Linked DNA regions of Mus musculus. The protein of the gene in region 2 interacts with the protein of the main gene of each other region in a pairwise test. Links are inferred from orthologs where the notes say so. Each region holds a gene or a part of one and is shown on either strand. Other genes may lie near its edges.

Region 1 (4,532 bases), on a different chromosome or scaffold from region 2:
AGTTTCCAACCCACTCGATCTGGAATGTTCTGCTGGTCCTGTCCTTCCAAAGCCCTTGCTCACTCAGCTCCTGTTTCCTCACACTCGAATATTTTTAAACCAGAGTGTTATCTGTGACAGCTCTGTTAATCTTATCTCCCACCCAGTTAGGATAAGTCAGGGTTTCCCGAGAGTGGTCGGACAGTCACTCCTCTTAAGGCATGGACTGAAGTTAGTGCACTGTCTCAGCCCCAAGGAACCCAGAAAATCATAGACAAGGGATGAGAGAGAGAGAGAGAGAGAGAGAGAGCAGAAAAAGTCCAGGATGAGTGGGTTTCTATCTGATCTTTACAGTTTGAGATGATAAAATCCTCCCAGACCATGACTATTGAAGAGGTAAGTAAAGGAGCTGAAGCAAACCAGAAATAACAGAAATAAGCATCCTGCTCCATCATTAGGAGACAGACTATGACCCTCACCATGCACAGAAAAATGGACCAGGAAACCGAGCATCAAACAGAAACAGGTGCCCGAAGAAAGAAGAAAACAGTAGCTTCATTTCCCCTCTGTACCTTAGCACACACTCACAGATGCCTAAAATGGCTTGGGGGTGGGTGAAAGGGAAAAGGGACTGAGGGTCCAGGACGGACACTCACCCCTGCCCTGGCATAGGCAGACTCACCTCTGAGAGTCCGGTGTCAATCCAGCTGGGTGCCCGCAGGAAGGAGGGTGGCCGAAGGTAGAAGGGGCTCAGGGAAGTGGCTGTTGAGAAGAGGTCAGACTCCAACAGGTGCTCTCCGAAGAACTGGTCGAAGAGGCGGCTTGGGGAGTGGAAGGGGAAGAAGGGGCGCCGGATCCAGGGGTGGTGGATGGCGATGTCCATTGTGGCTAGATGAATGCAGAGTCGGTTGGCTGGTCAACTCCTTCAGCAGCAGCTCCAGCCGGCCCCTTATATATGCAGTCTTCTGAAGCTTCTGGAATGGTGAGGTCAGGGGTTTTATTATCCCAGCTCACCGCCAGTTCATGGAGACTTGTGATCAGGGATTTGGCAGGGTGACACATACCCGGTACTCACTGAGCTAAGAAAAGAGAAACACAGGCAGGGCTGAGCTGACCGGTGACTTGTCATGGTCTTGTTTCACTAGCTCTCTGTCCACACCCAGTGGCACCCACCCCATCCTTGTTCTCTGGAGCTAGGACGGAGCCTGGAATCCCAAGCAGCTGCTGGTGGGCCCCTCCTCCTCTCCAGTCTCGCATGCCAGGGGAATTGAGCCAGCAACTATCTTGGGCCTGGGCAGGGACTGGAATCTTCCTAGGCTTAGCCCCAGGGACATTAACTCTTTGTGGAGTCCTAGAGGAGAGCAGAACTAGGTGTCTGACTGGAACCCTGAGCTGATCTAGGTTCAGAAGACACTGACCTTACAAAGACAGAAAATGTTTCTTGCATTGTGGATGCTATGTGGCTCATAGAACATTAAGTCTTTTTTTTTTTTTTTAAGTAATGTGCACAGTGCCTGAGACTGAGAAGGACAAAGGGTGATGTGGAATGTACAACTGGTGAAGGCCCAACTAGGCCTCTCCTTGCCCTCCTGCAGAGCAGGAGCTCACTCCAGGACCAGGACCCTCAGCTGTCCTACCAGGCCCCTGCGACAGCTGAAGGGTGTGCAGAGGAGGGGACTTAGGGGGTCCAGGCTGATCACACCCTCATAGCTGCACTCTAGACTTAGGCTCCCAGCCCTCCCCCACCCCCAGAGGCTCTGCACTATTTTGGGTGGTGTAGACCCCGCCCCCACTCTGACTGAGCCCTGGCTCTCCCTGAAGCCGGTGGGGTCGCCTTGATCTTGTTGGGGCAGTACTTGGGATCAGGGCTACTAGTCGCAACAGCAGTCATGTCGGGCCGCACAGTGCCACACGCCCACCCAGCCACTGCCGAGTACGAATTTGCCAACCCCAGCCGTCTGGGCGAGCAGCGCTTCGGAGAAGGTAGGACTCAGATGCTGCCTCCCACCCCCACCTCCTGAAATTCTGGGCTCACTGCCCAGCTTTACTGGCCTCCACTCTACCTGGGGCTTAAGTGAACTCCTGAGGTGAACCATCTCCCATTCCAGATTCCCCCGTCAAGCAAGACTCTCTCTGGTCTTGCTACAGACCTCAGGATAAACTTTAGACCGGTAGGGTTTTGGGTAACTGGGCTTTGCAGGCTTCAGAGTACCTTCTGATTTCGCGTCTGTCCTCCCAATTCCAGCTCGCTTCCTCCATGGCTATCTCCTTTCCTTTCCCAGCCCCTCTTCAGCAGTTCCCACCTGCTCTTCTGGCCCATGTCTCCAGATATCGCCTTTCATCCCTGTGCCCACTGCATCCACCCTCATCCTGCCTCTTGCTTTCTCTTTCTCTTTCTCTCTCTGCACCCCCAACCCCCCAACCAGGCCTCCTGCCAGAAGAGATCCTGACCCCCACCCTCTATCACGGCTACTATGTTCGGCCTCGGGCCGCCAGAGCTGGCGAGGGCGCCAGGGCAGGGGCCTCAGAGCTCAGGCTCAGTGAAGGCAAGTTCCAGGCGTTTCTGGATGTGAGCCACTTTACCCCAGATGAGGTGACGGTGAGGACTGTGGATAACCTGCTGGAGGTGTCTGCCCGACACCCCCAGCGTCTGGATCGCCACGGCTTCGTGTCCCGAGAGTTCTGTCGCACCTATGTCCTGCCTGCAGATGTGGACCCCTGGCGGGTTCGAGCTGCTCTATCCCATGATGGCATCCTTAACTTGGAGGCGCCGCGGGGTGGCCGGCATTTGGACACGGAAGTCAATGAAGTCTACATCTCCCTGCTTCCTGCTCCTCCTGACCCCGAGGAAGAGGAAGAGATAGCCAGAGTTGAGCCCTGACTGCCAGCGATAGACCCAGCACCCAGTGAATCCCCTGTCTACCTCCCGTGGTGATTCCATAAATCCACCACACCCCAGAGGGAGCAGCATCCCTGGGAGATGGCATCGGTGCATGGTCCACAGTGTATGGTTTGGTCCCTTGATGTATCAAAGCCTTTGATTTAATTCTGGGTGGGGCTGAATAAACCAAAACCTGGGGGCCTTGTTTGTGCTGCTTCTGTTCTGTTGCCTGGAAGACCCAATGGCAAACCGGTGGGCAGAAAGAAGGTCCTAGGCAGCTATTTCCACTGTGAAATATGCCCATCGTCTCAGCATCCTGAGCTCACACTTGGATGCTGAGATCACACCCGGAAGCTGACACTGGCTCCGGATCAAATTCCTCGCCATAATTTTCTCACAATGCAACAAAAGAGAGAGTGATCCTGGGAGGGCTAGGGACAGGCCATCCAAACAGCCCAGAGGGCACTGTCTGAGCTGGCGATTAGAGACACAAAAACAAGGGTCTCCAGGCTGTCTGGCCCTTTTTGGGTAGGGGTTAGGAAAAAATTTTCTTTTTTTTTTTTTTTTGGCTGGAGAGAGTTGCCTGAAGCTCTGGAGTGAGTGTTTTGCTCCTCACATCAATGGGGTGTGTGTGGAAAGGTCTCTGAGAGAGGGGAGGCGTGCCCATACATGGGTACGGCAGACACATTAATCCACCATTATCACTGAACCTACGTACGACCTTCCTATTTGAGTACAGGGAAGACCCGTGCAAGGAAGCAATTGTGTCTGATTTTGTAGTAACCCACAGAGAGAGGAACCCTACAACACTATACCTAATCTAAGACTCTCAATGCAGTTTCTACTTCCATATTGTAGTGGGCATGGTCAGGAAAGGCTGAGGTGATTTCAGTGCTGGGACTATGGTGTGTTCAGAAAAGTCAGCCGGTACAGGTAGGCTGTAACCATTCTCTTTACAACCAAGAGAGTGTCATACATGTGTATGATTTGAGAGGTATCCAAAAGGTTTCCTTTTAGTCATTTGTAGATATCTATGAGTGAATATGAATGTGAATGAATTATACATTCCATGTTATGGTGGATAGTTGAAATTCTTTCATTAATGTGGTTGTTTCTTGGTTTTTGGGGTTAAATTTTTTTATTTGAAACCCAACAAAATCTATTAGTCCTCTTACTGGAAAAATACACACATGCAAATTTATCAACAAAGTTTTTGAGATCCATTCATACCCCTCTCGGGGATGTGTGGACCCCTGAGGTGAGAGCTTGTCTTTAAATAATTTGATTATTGGCTTTAAAATCGTTTTCCTTTCCAAACAAAAGCATGACCTGGAGTGGTAGAGTGCTTGCCTGCCAGGCAAAAGGCTTAGTGAGTGAGAGCCTAGCACGCCACAGAGAACCAGTGAAATGAAAGCACACCTCAGAGAAACAGCTCGGTTGTATTCTGCTCTTCATGTGGTAAGTAGTTCAGTAAAATATTTATCAAGCAATCAAGTGTGGGAGACAAGCATTGTCCGTGTACGTCATAAGGAGCAGGTGCTTTTGATTAGCTACCCTCGGTGATCCTAACATCTGGGTGAGCAGAAGTCTGAAGACTGTGTCTCTGACAGGGCAAAACACATATTTTAAAGCAGCGATCGGAAAACTACCACTTACAGACCAAGCTTGGCTG
Region 2 (5,594 bases):
AGACACTGTTTCTGAGCCAGCTGCTGAAGGCCTGGATGGGAATTAGCCAGGGTCCAGGCCTGCACTTCCTCTTGCTGCTGTGTGGTCCTGGTCATTGGGTCTCACAGATGGGCTGTGCAGTGGCTGTGCTCTTAGTTGGTGAGGTGCAGGCCTGTCACCTGGTCAGGCTTGAGCATGTGGTCTCAGTGTCTAGGACCCTACTCTGCCCTCAGTCCTTCAGTCCCTTGCTTTGGAAGGCTAGAGTCCAGAAGCCTTAGAACGTCAGGCAGTTGCAGAGCCACTGCCAGGCTAGTAGGGCTGCGGGAGTTGACTGAGTTCTCACAGACACCCCTCTGTCTCCCTAGTTCACAGACGAGGAGACCGAGGCCCAGGCAGGGCAAGCAAGTTGGCCCAGGTCACCCAGCAAGTCAGTTGTAGAGGTAGGACAACCCCTGAAGCTGCAAGTGGACCCCAGTTTCTTTTCTCTCCACTGTCGTCCCCTGTATGCCCAGGACACCTGGGGCCACATTACTGTGGAAGTGCTACTCTGGGTCAGTGGAGACGGCCGAGCTGTTTGTTCCTAGCTAGGACAGCAGCTTTAGGCCTGGGGGGCAGATCCCAGCTGGGGCAGCAGCTCCAAGGCCTTTGGGTGGCTCCTTCTCCGGGTTCTGGCAGAAGCCCAGGTGCTGTCTAATCCACCTTTCTCCTCTTGTTCTCCCCAGGGCATCTCCTCCCAACCAGGCAGCTCCCCCAGTGGCACTGTGGTGTGAAATGTGGATGTCCCATGTTCCCGGCCTCCTAGCCATAACCCTCCCCGCTGACCTCAAGAATCACTGTATTAACAAGACTAATCATGATGGAAGGACTGCTCCAAGCCCCACGCTGCACACATACTGGGGGTCCCCTAGGTTGGCCCAGCCATGGGGATGTAGTGTCCTGTGTGGCCTTGGCCCTGTCCTCCACCCACTGCCAAGTACAATGACCTGTTCTCTGAAACATCAGTGTTAACCATATCCCTGTCCCAGCATGTGACTGTTCACTCCTGGGAGAGACTTAGCCCACAGTACCCCTGGGTGAGAGGGCAGGGCAGGGGCCATCCCCACTCCTGCCCAAACTCCACCCCTTGCTATGGTCTGTGATTTTGAAAGTGTTAAATTATGGAAGCCCTGAGGGCCCTCCTTGTTCCCCTGGACCTCTTATTTATACTAAAGTCCTTGTTTGCACAGTGTTTCTGTTCCCTGGGGCAGGGTAGGGTGGGGGTTGCAGTACTTGGCCTCCAAGCTGTGCTCTGACCAAAGGAAGCCCAATCTTAGCTGTTTCCCCATCCCTAGCCCCGAGCAGAGAGCCCTCTGAAAGATGAGTCTCGACCCCCAAAGTCAAGAGGCTGAGATGGCCTTCCTACTAGGTCCTTGGAGATGTTTGAAACTTGTTTTAAACACCAGGACTATCCAAGCATGCTCTCCTTGGGGAGAGGAGGATGCTGGAATTGACTGCACTCCCTGCCTCCTCTGAACATGCCTTTGCAGTCTGCTGCCCCTGGCCCATTTATGACTGGCCATCTAGTGCCAGCTGGAGGTCATGATTTCCTCCCCAGAGAACTGGCCACCCTAGAAAGAAGCTAACTTGTCGCCTGGCTTGCTGTCCAGGCAGCTCCGCCCTCAACCCCTAAAATGTTTCTGTCTCTAATCCTAGCCCAGGCAGGAATGTGGCTGCCCCGGCCTGTGGCCAAGGAGCTATTTTGGGGTTCTCTTTTGCTTAAGGAGGGCCTGGATCCACCACTTGCCTCCCCCAGGCTGGGGCCAGCAGGTCACCCCTGGCCCTGGCGGCTGAGCAAACTCTCTCCTGATCTTCCTTCTACCTCCTGCCAAAAAATGGGGGGGCGGGTAATACAGCAGGCACAGGGGCTAAATTTAACTGTCCCAAAGTCGGAATCCATTGCTGAGTCACGAAGAAGCTGCCCCTGGCCTTTGCCCCCCCCACTACCCCCTCACCCCCTGTTGCCCAGGCATCAGCCCTTTCCCCCAACCCCTCCCAGCTCTGAGTCTATAGACTGGCTCTCCTGGGCACTGACACCTCCCACCTGTAACTCCCTGTGCTCTCTTTATGGGTGGGTAGAGTCAATGGGGGGGGGCAACCCTGGAGTATTACTCTGTCCCCTGACATTGGGCTCTGAAGAGTTTTGAGGGGCCCTGGAAGAAGGGAGTTGGGGTGTTGGCTCAGGAGGGGTTAAAAACTGGGAGGCGGGAGGGGGGCTGGGCCAAGGGGTGGAGAAAAGAGGAGGAGGCCTTAAGCATAGAACTGGCCAGAGAGACCCAAGGGATAGTCAGGGACGGGCAGACATGCAGCTAGGGTTCTGGGGCCTGGACAGGGGCAGCCAGGCCCTGTGACGGGAAGACCCCGAGCTCCGGCCCGGGGAGGGGCCATGGTGTTGCCTGCCCAACATGTCAGCCGAAGTGCGGCTGAGGCAGCTCCAGCAGCTGGTGCTGGACCCAGGCTTCCTGGGACTGGAGCCCCTGCTCGACCTTCTCCTGGGCGTCCACCAGGAGCTGGGTGCCTCTCACCTAGCCCAGGACAAGTATGTGGCCGACTTCTTGCAGTGGGGTGAGTATGGATAGGAAGCCTGGGGTTGGGTGCAAGGCAGAGGTGGGTCTACAGGGCAAGAATGGGCTATGGAGGGGCAGGAGGGCCTGGAAAGGGCTTTTTGTAAGGGAGCCAAGCAGAGCTCATGACCTGACCCCAAGCTCCCCTGGTGAGGCACCAGGGTCAGTGAGGCCACCTATGACTCAGCCAGTGCAGGCTGGGGTGGGCATAGCCTCCTGCTATCTCAGCACCCACACTAGGACCTGGCAGCTTTCTCTTTTAGGACCCTTGGCTCCTCAAACTGGCTTCATAGCCCTCCCCAGTTTCCCAGAGTGTGGGGAGGGACAGCGTGGGGCAGCTGCCAGGGTGTGGCCCATAGGCAGGTGTTTGGCGTCTGCCTCCCCAGCTGCCCTGACAGGTGTCCAGGAGCTATGAGGGCACTGTGACTCACAGAGGCCCTGGGGGAGAACCAGCCCGGCAGACAGGCGCCACCGAGCACCCTTTCTGTTCCCCAAATTAAGAGGAAGGAACAACTTCAGCTTCTGAGTGTGCCCATCCCTAGCACTCTGATCCCGCCCAGCCTTTGTGGGCCAGATTGGTCATCCCTCCTGGCTTCTCATCTGCTTTTGTGGTTCTAGCTCAAGACCTCTAATTCCTCTGCTGACTTAAATGCCCTTCCCCAGAGGTCTTCTCAGGCCTAGTGGACAAGCTTGGAGCCTTATCTGCTCCTGCCCAACATTGAGCCAAAGCTCCAGCTTACCCCAGCTTCCTTACAAGTAACGACCTGTTTTGTTGCTCTGTGCCTATTATTAAGGGTCCAGGTCTTGATTCTTGGCTGTCTGCCCATGTGTGTGACCCTAGTGCATTCTCCCCTCCTCCCCCGTTTCACAGATGGAAAGGTTGAGGCCATCGGTTAGACTGCTAAGCCTGTGAAAGACTTTTTCTCCTCTCCAGTCTTTAGTGTCTCCCTCAACCTTTCTTTTGAAGGATGGGGTTTGGGCTGGCAGGGTAAACTGAGAACTGGGGTGGGGGCAGGGGGTCTGACCCTCTGGGAAGGAGCAGTCCTTTTGTGGCCTGAGCAGCATCCTGTGGGCCCCTCCCCTGCCAGGCCTGGGCGGGGGAGGGGGCCTGGGTTCCCGCTGCCTTAAAAGGGCTCAACGCCTTGGCTCTCTCCTCCTCCCCACCCCCCAGCCTTGGCCCTAGCTGTATCTTCCCCGGCTGCCCACTTTCCCAAACCCCTTTCTTCTCTGTGACCCCATCTCCCCGCTTCCCCACACGTCCCTCCTCCATCCTTACTCCCCGGCCTTAGAACTTCCCTAAGGGAGATCTGACCTCCCTCTGCCCACCCCGCACCCCCAGTCGCCAGCCTCAGACCTAGCTGCTCTCCCCTCTGGCTGAACCACCCTAGCACAGGACCTTATACCCTGGAGCTTTGGTTATAAGAAGACTCTCCTTCACCCTTTGGAAACCAAGAAAGCCCTTCCAACAGTGTCCAGGATGCTGGAGGGCAGTGACCCTCCCCCACTTCTTCTTCGTGCTGGCTGTGCTGACACAGCTCCAGTTCGAGGTTGTGGCCCGAGACATTAAGTGAGAGCCCCGGGTGACCTGACTTAGCACCCTGATCATCACATGGGAGTGAAAGGCCTGATGCGCCAGCTTCTCCCACTGCCTCCCTTTCTGCCCTGCAACCCTGTGGAAACAGGCAGTTCTGGGTCCCACAAACATCACAGAGGTTTTGAAAGCAGAATCCTAAAGCCGATTTAAGGGGCAGAAGGAAGGAGGCTATAAAGTCACTACCCTTACCGCTAGTGTTCTGATGACCCTTGGTTCTTCTTCCCCCACCCCCGCCCAGTGGAGCCCATTGCAGCAAGGCTTAAGGAGGTCCGACTGCAGAGGGATGATTTTGAGATTTTGAAGGTGATCGGGCGTGGGGCGTTCAGCGAGGTGAGTCTTCAGTGGCCTGGGAATGGAACTTTACTTGATGTGGGTGGGGCATAACAGCTGGGGCAGAGCCTTAAAAATTGATGAATGAGCTTGAATTTAAGGCTGGAGGGGTGGGGGCGGAGCTTGTGGTCAGTGGGCGGTGTGCACGTGAGGGCGGGGCTAAGGTTGGGTGGAGATAAGGGTGGAGTCCTGTCTGGGTGAGCCTTGCTGGTTTTCCCTGCCACCTCTTGCTGTCATCTCGGTTCCGTATTTAGGTAGCGGTGGTGAAGATGAAACAGACGGGCCAAGTGTATGCCATGAAGATTATGAATAAGTGGGACATGCTGAAGAGAGGCGAGGTGAGGGCCAGGGATTAGGGCAGCGCCCTCATCTCTCCAACTCACCTCCTGTAGCTTCTCTCCTACCTCACAGGTGTCGTGCTTCCGGGAAGAAAGGGATGTATTAGTGAAAGGGGACCGGCGCTGGATCACACAGCTGCACTTTGCCTTCCAGGATGAGAACTACCTGGTAAGCTCCGGGTTCAGGTGACTAGGAAAGAGTGACAGTTACATCGCCCCAAGTCAAGAAGGCTGGAGAAGGGAGAAGCTGCTGTAGATCGGGGGGGTGGGGGTGGGGGGGACACACACAGGGGATGGGGGACGGGGGTAGGATTGTGTCTCAAGTATAGGAGAGACCTTCCTTGAGACAGGAGTGATATCTGGTTTGGCCTTTGGATGGGGCGCTCTCTCACTGTGCGGGGGTCCTCTGTGCTTGGGAACGGGGTGTCTTTGGGAGTCTTGGGGGCTACCAAACCCCTGTGACACACCCGCTCCCAGTACCTGGTCATGGAATACTACGTGGGCGGGGACCTGCTAACGCTGCTGAGCAAGTTTGGGGAGCGGATCCCCGCCGAGATGGCTCGCTTCTACCTGGCCGAGATTGTCATGGCCATAGACTCCGTGCACCGGCTGGGCTACGTGCACAGGTGGGCGTGGCGGGGCCCTTGGAGGGTTAGCAGAATTTGTGTGGGAAGGAAGGGTACCTGAAGGTCAGATCCCATTGGGGACAGAATCGGGGTCTAGAATTGTAGAATCCTGGGTGGGGTGGAAGTG

Evidence for each region.
Region 1: the proteins of Dmpk (region 2) and Hspb2 interact in a two-hybrid assay, tested with the Homo sapiens proteins (2 studies listed by BioGRID). The link is inferred for Mus musculus from reciprocal best matches to the Homo sapiens genes DMPK and HSPB2.

What each region holds. Positions count from the first base shown.
Region 1 is NC_000075.6:50,749,607-50,754,138, reverse strand, and holds Hspb2 (heat shock protein beta-2), read left to right. Parts: upstream 1-1,784; 5' UTR 1,785-1,868; coding exon 1,869-1,962; intron 1,963-2,191; exon of another isoform or gene 2,192-2,237; intron 2,238-2,405; coding exon 2,406-2,860; 3' UTR 2,861-3,067; downstream 3,068-4,532. Other genes in the region: Cryab (alpha-crystallin B chain), read right to left, coding at 662-862. UniProt on the Homo sapiens protein: May regulate the kinase DMPK.
Region 2 is NC_000073.6:19,081,575-19,087,168, forward strand, and holds the start of Dmpk (myotonin-protein kinase), read left to right. Parts: upstream 1-2,283; 5' UTR 2,284-2,420; coding exon 2,421-2,580; intron 2,581-4,411; coding exon 4,412-4,503; intron 4,504-4,757; coding exon 4,758-4,841; intron 4,842-4,914; coding exon 4,915-5,010; intron 5,011-5,253; exon of another isoform or gene 5,254-5,318; coding exon 5,319-5,467; intron 5,468-5,594. Other genes in the region: Dmwd (dystrophia myotonica WD repeat-containing protein), read left to right, coding at 345-419, 702-749. UniProt on the Homo sapiens protein: Non-receptor serine/threonine protein kinase which is necessary for the maintenance of skeletal muscle structure and function.